2 linked regions of the Oryctolagus cuniculus genome follow. The protein of the gene in region 2 purifies or fractionates together with the protein of the main gene of each other region. This does not show direct contact. Links are inferred from orthologs where the notes say so. Each region holds a gene or a part of one and is shown on either strand. Other genes may lie near its edges.

Region 1 (4,593 bases), on a different chromosome or scaffold from region 2:
CCAGCTGGGTGGTAAAGACGCAGGTGCTGGAGCTATGACCCGCGGTGCGTTAGCTGGGAGGTAGAGCAGGAGCAGAGCTGACTCGAACCCAGGCCCCCTGATGTGGGCTGTGGGAGCCCAAGTGTGGCTGGACTGTTGCTCTCCGATGCTGCCTGGCCACCTCATTTTTGGAGAGAGGTCACAAAGCCAGGTTACTATGTGTTGAAATTGTTCAGCCGTTAAAAACTAACAAAACCAAAGACAGAGAGGAAGAAGAGGAAAACAGCGCGAACAGTCACTCCACAGCGCTCATTTGAGGACCACTGTGTTAACCAAGGCACAGGTTCGTCGTGGGGCTGCTGGGTGTGGGAGGGGAGCCTTAGACGTGTTTTTCTTTTTGTACTTAGGGACTGGCAGTCACATCTTTTTTCCCAAAGGCCTCAAGTCTTCTGGGCTGTTGCCAAGTAATTAAGGAATTATTTTTCTTTGTTTCAGGATGAAGATGGAAATAAGAAACTGAGCACTGGAGATGTTACTCCAAATTCTGCCTGCTCCTTCCCGCAAGATAAGTTATATAGGAATGGGCAGAGCGCATAAAGTCCCCGTGAAAAGTTGGCTCTCATCTAAAATTACACTGCTGTTTCTGTTAGAGTGGGCACTTGCTGTCAGTGTACGGAAACAGAAGAAAGTCGGCCTGGAAGTGATAGGCGGAGCCCTGGGGTCCTAACGCGCACAGCCACATCATCTTTTCGTTTGTTTTTTTAAGCTTTATTTATTTGAAGGAGAGAGTCTGCCATCGCAGGTGCCTGACCGCTCCCCTCGGCGCCGGCCCCTATCTTGCCTTTCAGTGCACCTAGCAAGTTAATGATTTTATTCGCGCCTTTTATCCGCACTGGAACGTAAGCTCCATGAGGGCACGGGCGTTTGTCCGTTCCGTTCTTAGCTCTCGGGGCAGCGCCTCGCACATGGCGGAGGAAGGAGGCCCTGAGGGCGGGAGCGAAGGGAACGACACCTGCGAGACGAGAGGACGGACTGAGAGAAGGAAGAAGGAAGTGCGGGAGGCCAGAAGGCACGCGCTCCGCCTTCCCGCTCGGGGCCCGGCAGAACTACAACTCCCAGCAGGCCGCTGGCCCAGGGCGGGCGGCGGCCACCTCGCCGCGACCAGGCCCCGCCTGCCGGCTCCCGGTGTGCCTTGCGGGCGCCGGCCCCGCCGCAGCGCCCGCCGGGACTTGTGGTTTGGGCCGCGGGTGGGGGTGGGGCCGGGCCTGGAGGCGGGCGGGGGCCGGGGGCGGGCGCCGGCCCCTCCCCCGTCACTTCCTGCCGGGCTGCGGGCGCCGGAGCGGCTCCTCAGCGTTTGCGCCGGCCGCCGTCGCTTCTTCTCTCGGCTTCCCCGCTTCTTGGACCCCCCGGCCCGGCGGCGGCGCCCGCCTCCTCCGCAGCCACTCCGCCTCTTCCCACCCGCCGTCCCTTCCTCCTCTCCCTCTTCCTTCCTCCTTCCCCTCGTCGCCGCCACCACTGCCGCCGCCGCCGCCCAGGACCGCCGGCCGAGGGGCGAGCTGAGGGCAGCAGCCAGGTGAGGCGGCCGGCCGAGCGCGGCGGGGCCCGCGCGGGCGCGGCGGCCACGGGGCGGGGGGCGGCGGGCGGCGGGCGGCGGGTGGGGCCTAGGCCTCGGCGGGCCGCGCGCCGGCCTCCTCCCCCCGGCCCGGGCCTGCGTCCCGCCCGCGGGGCCTGCCCGGGGTGGGGGAGAGGCGGGTCCTCCGGCGCCCCCAGCCCCGCCGCCGCTTTCTCGCCGGGGCCGGGAACAGGTGCCTGGCGCCCTGCGCTGGGCGGGCGCGCGGGGACAGCGAAGTTCCTGCCGGGCTGGTGGTGTCCCCTCTCCAGCCCTCGGGGTCCGGAGCGTCCGCGTCGTGCGGCGGGCACGGCCCAGGTGTCCGGCCCCGGCGCGGCCCCTTCAACTCTTTGTGTGGGCTGGGGAGAGGGGCGCCGAGACCGTCCTGCCGCTTTCTGGCTGCGGAGGTTCGGGGAAATGGGGCGTGTGAAGCGCTTATCGGAGCGCCAGACCCACAGCGTGTCCCCAATAAACCGCCTGCATGATTGATTGGCGTGATAGGAAGGTGTAATTTAGTGGGGCGAGTGGACAGAAGTTGACCTACCTAGCTGCCTCGCTGCCCGTGCGCGAGTGGGGGAGGCAGCGGTGTTCGGCGTGGCCCCCGCCGGCGCCGGGGGCATTGTTTTGGGCTCAGGGCTGGAAGGGGGCGAGCCCGGGCCGGACCCCCTGCGCGCCAGCCGCGGGTCCGCCTTCCCCGTGGTCGTCCCGCCTCTAGGAAAGTTGCTGGCAGCCGCTGCCCCTGCGCCGGGCGACGTGCTTGTCCTCGGGCCGGGGCCGGGGCCGGGGGCGGTGGACGGACGGCGCTGGGCGAGCGTGCCTGTCCTCGGGCCGGGGCCGGGGGCGGTGGACGGACGGCGCTGGGCGAGCGTGCCTGTCCTCGGGCCGGGGTCGGGGCCGGGGGCGGTGGACGGACGGCGCTGGGCGAGCGTGCCTGTCCTCGGGCCGGGGCCGGGGGCGGTGGACGGACGGCGCTGGGCGAGCGTGCCTGTCCTCGGGGCCGGGGCCGCGGGCGGTGGACAGACGGCGCTGGGCGAGCGTGCCTGTCCTCGGGGCCGAGGGCGGTGGACGGACGGCGCTGGGCGAGCGTGCCTGTCCTCGGGGTCGGGGCCGTGCCCCTGCCTTGCCGCGTCGGCGTGGGTGCAGGCTCTCGGCTGTTCGCGCGCAGATGCGCGTCCCAGCCGCCTGCCCCTGTTCTCTGGCCGTGCGGAGGGCTTTGGGGTCGCGCTGCCGTGCTGCGCGTGTTTTTGTTTAGAAGCGGGCGGACGGAGTCGAAGTACGGTTTTGCAGGAAGGGACCTCTGCTTACGTTGCTACTTGTTGAAGCAGAAACTAAAAATACAGCCGGGGTGTGGAGGCAGCGGTTTGGCCGTCTGGGGACGGGCGCACCGAGTTCTGCTAATGCTGGGCTGCGTGGTGCGGCTGTGCCGGTCCTTGGGGAGCTGCGGCCGCCGAGGTGCTCAGCTTCGAGTTAGGACAGAGAAAACGGAGTGTGCGCGCCGCAGACGTCCGCCTAGACCTCGGCTTGTCTTAGTCCGTTTCCTTAGAGAAATGAAAATGTTTTGATTTACATCTCTCAATGCAAAGTGGCTTCCTTGTTAGGTTTTTCTAGAATTTTCTGACACAGTGTCACATTGCTTCTGATTTAAAATTTGACGTTTTAAAAACAGCTAAACAGACAACTCTGCAAACAGTAAAAAGCATGTTTTCTGCTACCTTGTGGTAAGTTGTGCTAGGGAAGTTTTAATATTGCAGTGGGTAACATAAAGCTGTTTTTAAACTTTTCACTGTGGAAAATACATGAAAATTGACTAGACGACTTAGGTATTGTGTTTGTCGCTCAACTTCGGCAGTTTTTTTTAAAAAAATAGCTTCCATCCGCTGGTTCACTCCGCAGGTGCCGCACGCACAGCTGGGCCTGGGCCAGGCTGCCACGTGGGTGTCGGGGACTGCGTGCTCCATCATGTGCTGCCTCCTTGGCCCTCGGCCGAGGGGCAGGCAACCCCGGCTCCAGTGTGAGAGCCCCAGCTCTGACAATGATTAACTTACAGTTAAGAGCAGTCTTGTACCTCCTCCCCCAAACTGTATTGTTTTGAAGCAAATCTTAAACATCGTATCACAGTGTTAGAGATTTTGACTTTTACCAGAATGCTCCTAAAATGTGCTTTTAAAAGAATCAGTTGTCATTTTGTTTGCTTGGCTTCTCATCTCTGAACAGATTACTTGGTTACTGTGCAGTGGGGAAAAGACTAGCAGCTGAGCTAGTTTTGATCAGTGCTGTCCCGCTCTCAAAGTCAAATCCCAAATGTGGCCTTGCTTCTCTGTGTGCAAAAGTAACTCTTGAGCCATGAAAGACTAATTGAAGAGCCATCAGAAAGACAGATTTCCTATCCCTTTGTTGGTGGAGACCTACCTGCTAGGCCCCTTTAAATAGGCAGGAGCTTTGTGTCAAAGTTAAACCACAGTAATGCACCATGAAGCTTCCCAAAGTTTCTTTAGCTGGTTGTGTAAATAAATGCCGTCTCAGTAAGTATTAAGCGAAGGATGTTTGATTTCAGAATCTTTGTAGAATTGTTTTCCAGAGTCCCCATCTGCTCTATTTACAAACAGCACATTGTTAGTAATTATGAGTGGAATCTTAAGTTTTGTGACTAGTGTGAAATCAAAATAAGTGTTCATATTTTTCTTGTTTAAAAGGAGATCTCTCCTAGAAGTATTATAAATATTTGCTATTGTTACGTAATTTTCAAATTTCTGTCCTGAACAGTTTCTAGTTTGACTTGTAACATTGTTATTTCATTCTTGTGGGTTTTCATTGAAGCTTGATCAGGGGTACAGTGGAAACGTTATATATTATATTTTAGTTACTACAGCCTGGGAGATTTGGAAATTAAAATTAATCTGAGGAAAAATCTGTTGAGTATCTAGGGGAGGACACAACATTTATTTTTTAAACAGTGCTTAGTGCTTCCTATCAGGCTTACCAGTAAAACTTTTAAGTGTTTAGAA
Region 2 (4,504 bases):
GGCCGGCGCTGTGGCATAGCAGCTGAAGCCACCGCCTGCAGTGCCGGCATCCCATATGGGCATTGGTTTGGGACCTGGCTGCCCCACTTCCCATCCAGCTCTCTGCTATGGCCTAGGAAAGCAGTGGAAGATGGCCCAGGTCCTTGGGTCCTTGCACCTGCATAGGAGACCTGGAGGAGGCTCCTGGCTCCTGGCTTTGGATCAGCACAGCTCCAGCCATTGTGACCAACTGGGGAGTGAACCAGCAGATGGAACAACTCCCCCCTCGCCTCTCCTTTCTCTGTGCAACTCTGACTTTCAAATAGATAGATAAATCTAAAAAAAAAAAAAAAAAAAAAAAAAAAAAAAAAAAAATGCTACCTGAGACATGCACGTTGCAAACTGGAATACCCAGCGTTCGAATCCCAACTCCACGTCCAACTCCAGCCTCCTATTAAAGGGCACCCTGGACGGCAGCAGGTGACACAAGCACCTAGACCCTCACCACTAGCCTGGGAAACCCACACTGAGTCCCAGGTCCCTGGCTCCAGCCTGGCCAAGCCCAGCTGCTGCAGGCCATGTGAGATCTCTCTCCCTCTCTGTCACTTTGCCTTTCAAATAAATAAAATAAACAGAATTTCAAGTAACTCAGCCACATAGTTCTCGTTTCAGCAAGCTTTATCCTGTCTTACACAGCAGTGTCTTGTGAAGCTGGGCGCCCTGCTCCAAGCCCCTGGCGATCCCCCTGCTCAGCTCAGCCACCTCCAGGGCAAAGGCTCCCCCCCAGGAGTAACCTGCCAAGGCCTGGGGTGCAGAGTGCCACCCCCAGGAGAGGCGGAGACAGAAAGCACCATAAGTAAGCAAATCCTCTCCGAGACCACAAAGTGCTCGGTGCTACGGAGAGGTGGGCACCTGGATCGAGAGGGCGAGGCAGAGCAGGGCAGACAGAATGACCTCCCACGCAAGGGGACAGTGGCACAGCCTTGAGGACCTTCCCTGTTCTACTGTCCCACAAAACCCAGCCCCTCCCTACTCTCCTCTGCAGGCGGCAGGCACCCCCACCGCACTGCTCCCTGGCTAAGCTCCTGTGCACGGCTCCTGCCCCCTGGCCACAGCGCGATCACACTATTTGTCCCGGAGTAACTCATTAATCCGCACTGTGAGTCCCAGGCACTGGGCTGCAGTGGGTTCGGCTGTGTCTGGCAAACACAAGACACCTGCTTCGCAGACCCCCCCCACTCCTGTGGGCAGGCGAAGACTCGATCATTCACAGTCGCTCGTCACGTGCACCCCACGAAGAGCTGAGCTGGGCATTTCAATCCTGGGCCAAGCGATTACCCACTTATTGCTTTGAAGATCTTCAAATCTAAACTATCTTGCCTAAAGACCACCTTACAGTGAGCCAAACCACTCCCTATTTTATTTAGACTCTCTGTTTCTGAAAAGAACTCGTAATCCTAATAACAGAGAAAACTCAGGAATCCTAGCAAACTTTTTAGAACGTTAAATTTCCTTATTATTTTTCCTTTTGAGAACCCACTCTTTTTAAAGAAGAAATCTTTAGATAAATCTTTAGATTTAGACTGCCAGTCAGACTACATCTTCTGCATTTTCATTAATTGACCAAAGACCTATGGAGCTGCCAACCAGAGTTTTAAAAAAAAAAGGAGCCTGTGGACAATCCACCCCCTAAAACAAGAAACACGGGGGCTTTGAGGGTCAGAGGGTGGCCCGCTTGGGTGGAACACACAATTTCCATTCTTACACTGCGCCTGGGACCCTGGACTGTTTCCACCTCGGTCGGCTGAGAGCCTGGGCACCACCCCAGCACAGGAAATGCCTGGCTCCAGGGAGAGCCCGAGGGGTGGAATGGGGGTCCCTGCGTCACTGCTTCCCACTCTGCATCACTCCAGCTGCTTGTCCGTCTGTCTGTCTTCCCTAGGGACCCCAGGGCGATCTGGAGCTGATCACTGGAAGTGAAGTCCAGATCCCCCAAGCCCCACCCACGCCCACCCACGCCCACCCAGCGAGGCCCGGCGCCCGCTCTCACCTTGCTCGCAGTTCTCTACGGTGCCGTACTGAGCCAGCAGGCTGTCCAGCACCTGCGGGGTGGAGAAGACAGGGACTGAGCGCCCAGAACCCTCGCCAGGCGGCCACCCAGCAGCCCACACACACCCAAAGCACTCAGGAAGTCGCAGAGCGGTAAGAACTGGGCATCGCCTGTCCGTCTGCCCTTCCCAGGTGCTAGGGCTGCTGTCCACACCGGCCAGGGGCCAGCGGGCCTGCAGCTGTGCCTGCGGGGCCTCCTGGAAGCACACCTGGTAGTGTGCACAGAAGCACCCTCTCGCCTCCCTGGCGATGCACACCGAAGGGAGACCAGAAAGAGCGCCAGTGAGGGAGGAGACACCCCCCAACCAAGCCTGGCCCAGGGGACACGTGCCAGCCTGGCCCCCCAAAGTAACTCAGGTCTCCACTACCTCCCCGGCCCCACCCCCACCACTGAGTGCTTCCCCAGGACACTCACTTCCCATCGGAGCTGGGGTGGAATATTCCGGATTTGGATCTTCCGACTCCTGAAATTAAAGAGGGAACAGAGTTAGATCTGGCGGGGTAGCGCCCTACGTTGCCCTGTCCCAGTTCTCGGCTCCCTTTGCTGGAGAAAAGCTCAGCACTGAGGAATGATGACCTTTAGGAAAGGAGACCGGGGCATCTTGCTGGAAAAGACCAAAATCAACGTCACAGCCACGGAGACAAACACGGATGTGTTGTGGAGTAGCAGCCACCCAATTTGAGCGCCGGTTCAAGTCCGACTGTTCCACTTCTGATCCAGCTCCCTGCTAATACACCTGGGAAGGCACCAGAAGATGGCCCCAGTGCCTAGGCCCCTGCCATACACAGGGGAGACCTAGGCGGAGTTCCAGCCTCCTGGATTTGCCCTGACCCAGCCCTGGCTGTTGTGGCCATTTGGGGAGTGAGCCAGCCAATGGAAGATCACGCTCTCGCTCTCTCTCCCTCTCCCTCACCCCCCAGTGTGTGTACCTCTGCCGGTCAAATAAAATAATCTTAAAAAAAAAAAAAAAAAAAAAAACAACCACACACACAATGGCTTGTTTCCCTCACGATTTAGCTTGTCTCACTTCTTCATTCAGTAGGCACCTGTCACCACAACCCTGGGCTAGGCGCTAGCATCGCACACTGAGTAAGGCATTATTAATTAATCTGACAACTATTTAAGTGGCACCTACTTCCTGCCCAACCTTGTTGCACATACTAGGGACACACGACAAACAAAAAAGTGCCTGGCCCGGGGCACTCACAACCAACCCTGGGAGATGACCACATGCACACACTAGAGGGGTGCGAGGGCAGAGGTCAGGCCCTGGGCACAGGGACAGATTCAAACCACAGCCTAGCACTGATCTTAAAAGATGACTCCCTTTTTTCCCTCTGGTAGCCATGGCCGGAGTGGCAGTGGCCAAAATGAAGTTCAAGCCCTCTGACTTCTCATGGGAGCAAGAACTGAAAAAGGCATTTCCATGCCGTTTCCCACGTGGGCCTGAAGGCTCTGTCATCCCCTCTTTCCAAGGGCCAAGGCAGAAGTGCAGCACGCCATCCGTGCCCATCGGATGGACAATGGAACGTGCTCCAGGCGCACAGGAAGAAACACTTCGTCTTTGTTCAACGGGTGTGGTGGGGAAAGGCCAGTGGCACAGCTGTCCACGTGGGCATCCACCCCAGCAAGGCGGTGACCACTAGGGCTAAAGCCGGACAAAAACTAAACAGACCCTCAGACAGAAAGCCAAGTCTCACCAAGTAGGAAAGGAGAAGGGGGGCCGGCGCCGTGGCTCAATAGGCTAATCCTCCAGCTAGCTGCGCCGGCACACCGGGTTCTAGTCCCGGTCGGGGTGCCGGATTCTGTCCCGGTTGCCCCTCTTCCAGGCCAGCTCTCTGCTATGGCCCAGGAGTGCAGTGGAGTATGGCCCAAGTGCTTGGGCCCTGCACCCCATGGGAGACCAGGAGAAGCACCTGGCGGCGGCGGCCATTGGAGGGTGAACCAACGGCAAAAGGAAGACCTTTCTCTCTGTCTCTCTCTCTCACTGTTCACGCTGCCTGTCAAAAAAAAAAAAAAAAAAAAAAAAGGAAAGGAAAGGAGAAGGGCACATATAAGGAAGAAACCACTGAGGAGATGCAAGAATAAATAATCTTATATACGAACGTTCACTAGAAACTGCTGAAATAAAAAAAAAATTTTCAGCTTCTCTGAGGCATTTGAAAGACAGGGATCACGCCTACCCCGGGCAGCAGGTGGTGGTAGACAGTATTTATAAGGAGCTTAGGGGTGAGAACAGAGGCTCAGCCTAACTGTAGCTGCATTTGTGGATAACCGCCGTGGGACAGTCCATGGTGACCACACCTCTGCCCCTCCTGCCACTGAACCGGCGGCTTCTTCTCATCTTCCAGAGGCTTCTACCAACGTGGCCGTCCCTGAAGGCTCTCAGCTTCACTGCTGACCCCCGGCACCGCC

The links. Proteins that work in one complex are often made in the same cells at the same time.
Region 1: the proteins of IGF2BP1 (region 2) and STAU1 purify together in Homo sapiens (affinity purification with mass spectrometry; 3 studies listed by BioGRID and IntAct, with this or other methods). This does not show direct contact. The link is inferred for Oryctolagus cuniculus from reciprocal best matches to the Homo sapiens genes IGF2BP1 and STAU1.

What each region holds. Positions count from the first base shown.
Region 1 is NC_091442.1:11,270,783-11,275,375, forward strand, and holds the start of STAU1 (double-stranded RNA-binding protein Staufen homolog 1), read left to right. Parts: upstream 1-1,291; 5' UTR 1,292-1,552; intron 1,553-4,593. UniProt on the Homo sapiens protein: Binds double-stranded RNA (regardless of the sequence) and tubulin.
Region 2 is NC_091448.1:25,209,970-25,214,473, reverse strand, and holds part of IGF2BP1 (insulin-like growth factor 2 mRNA-binding protein 1), read right to left. Parts: intron 2,553-4,504; coding exon 2,504-2,552; intron 2,082-2,503; coding exon 2,030-2,081; intron 1-2,029. UniProt on the Homo sapiens protein: RNA-binding factor that recruits target transcripts to cytoplasmic protein-RNA complexes (mRNPs). This transcript 'caging' into mRNPs allows mRNA transport and transient storage.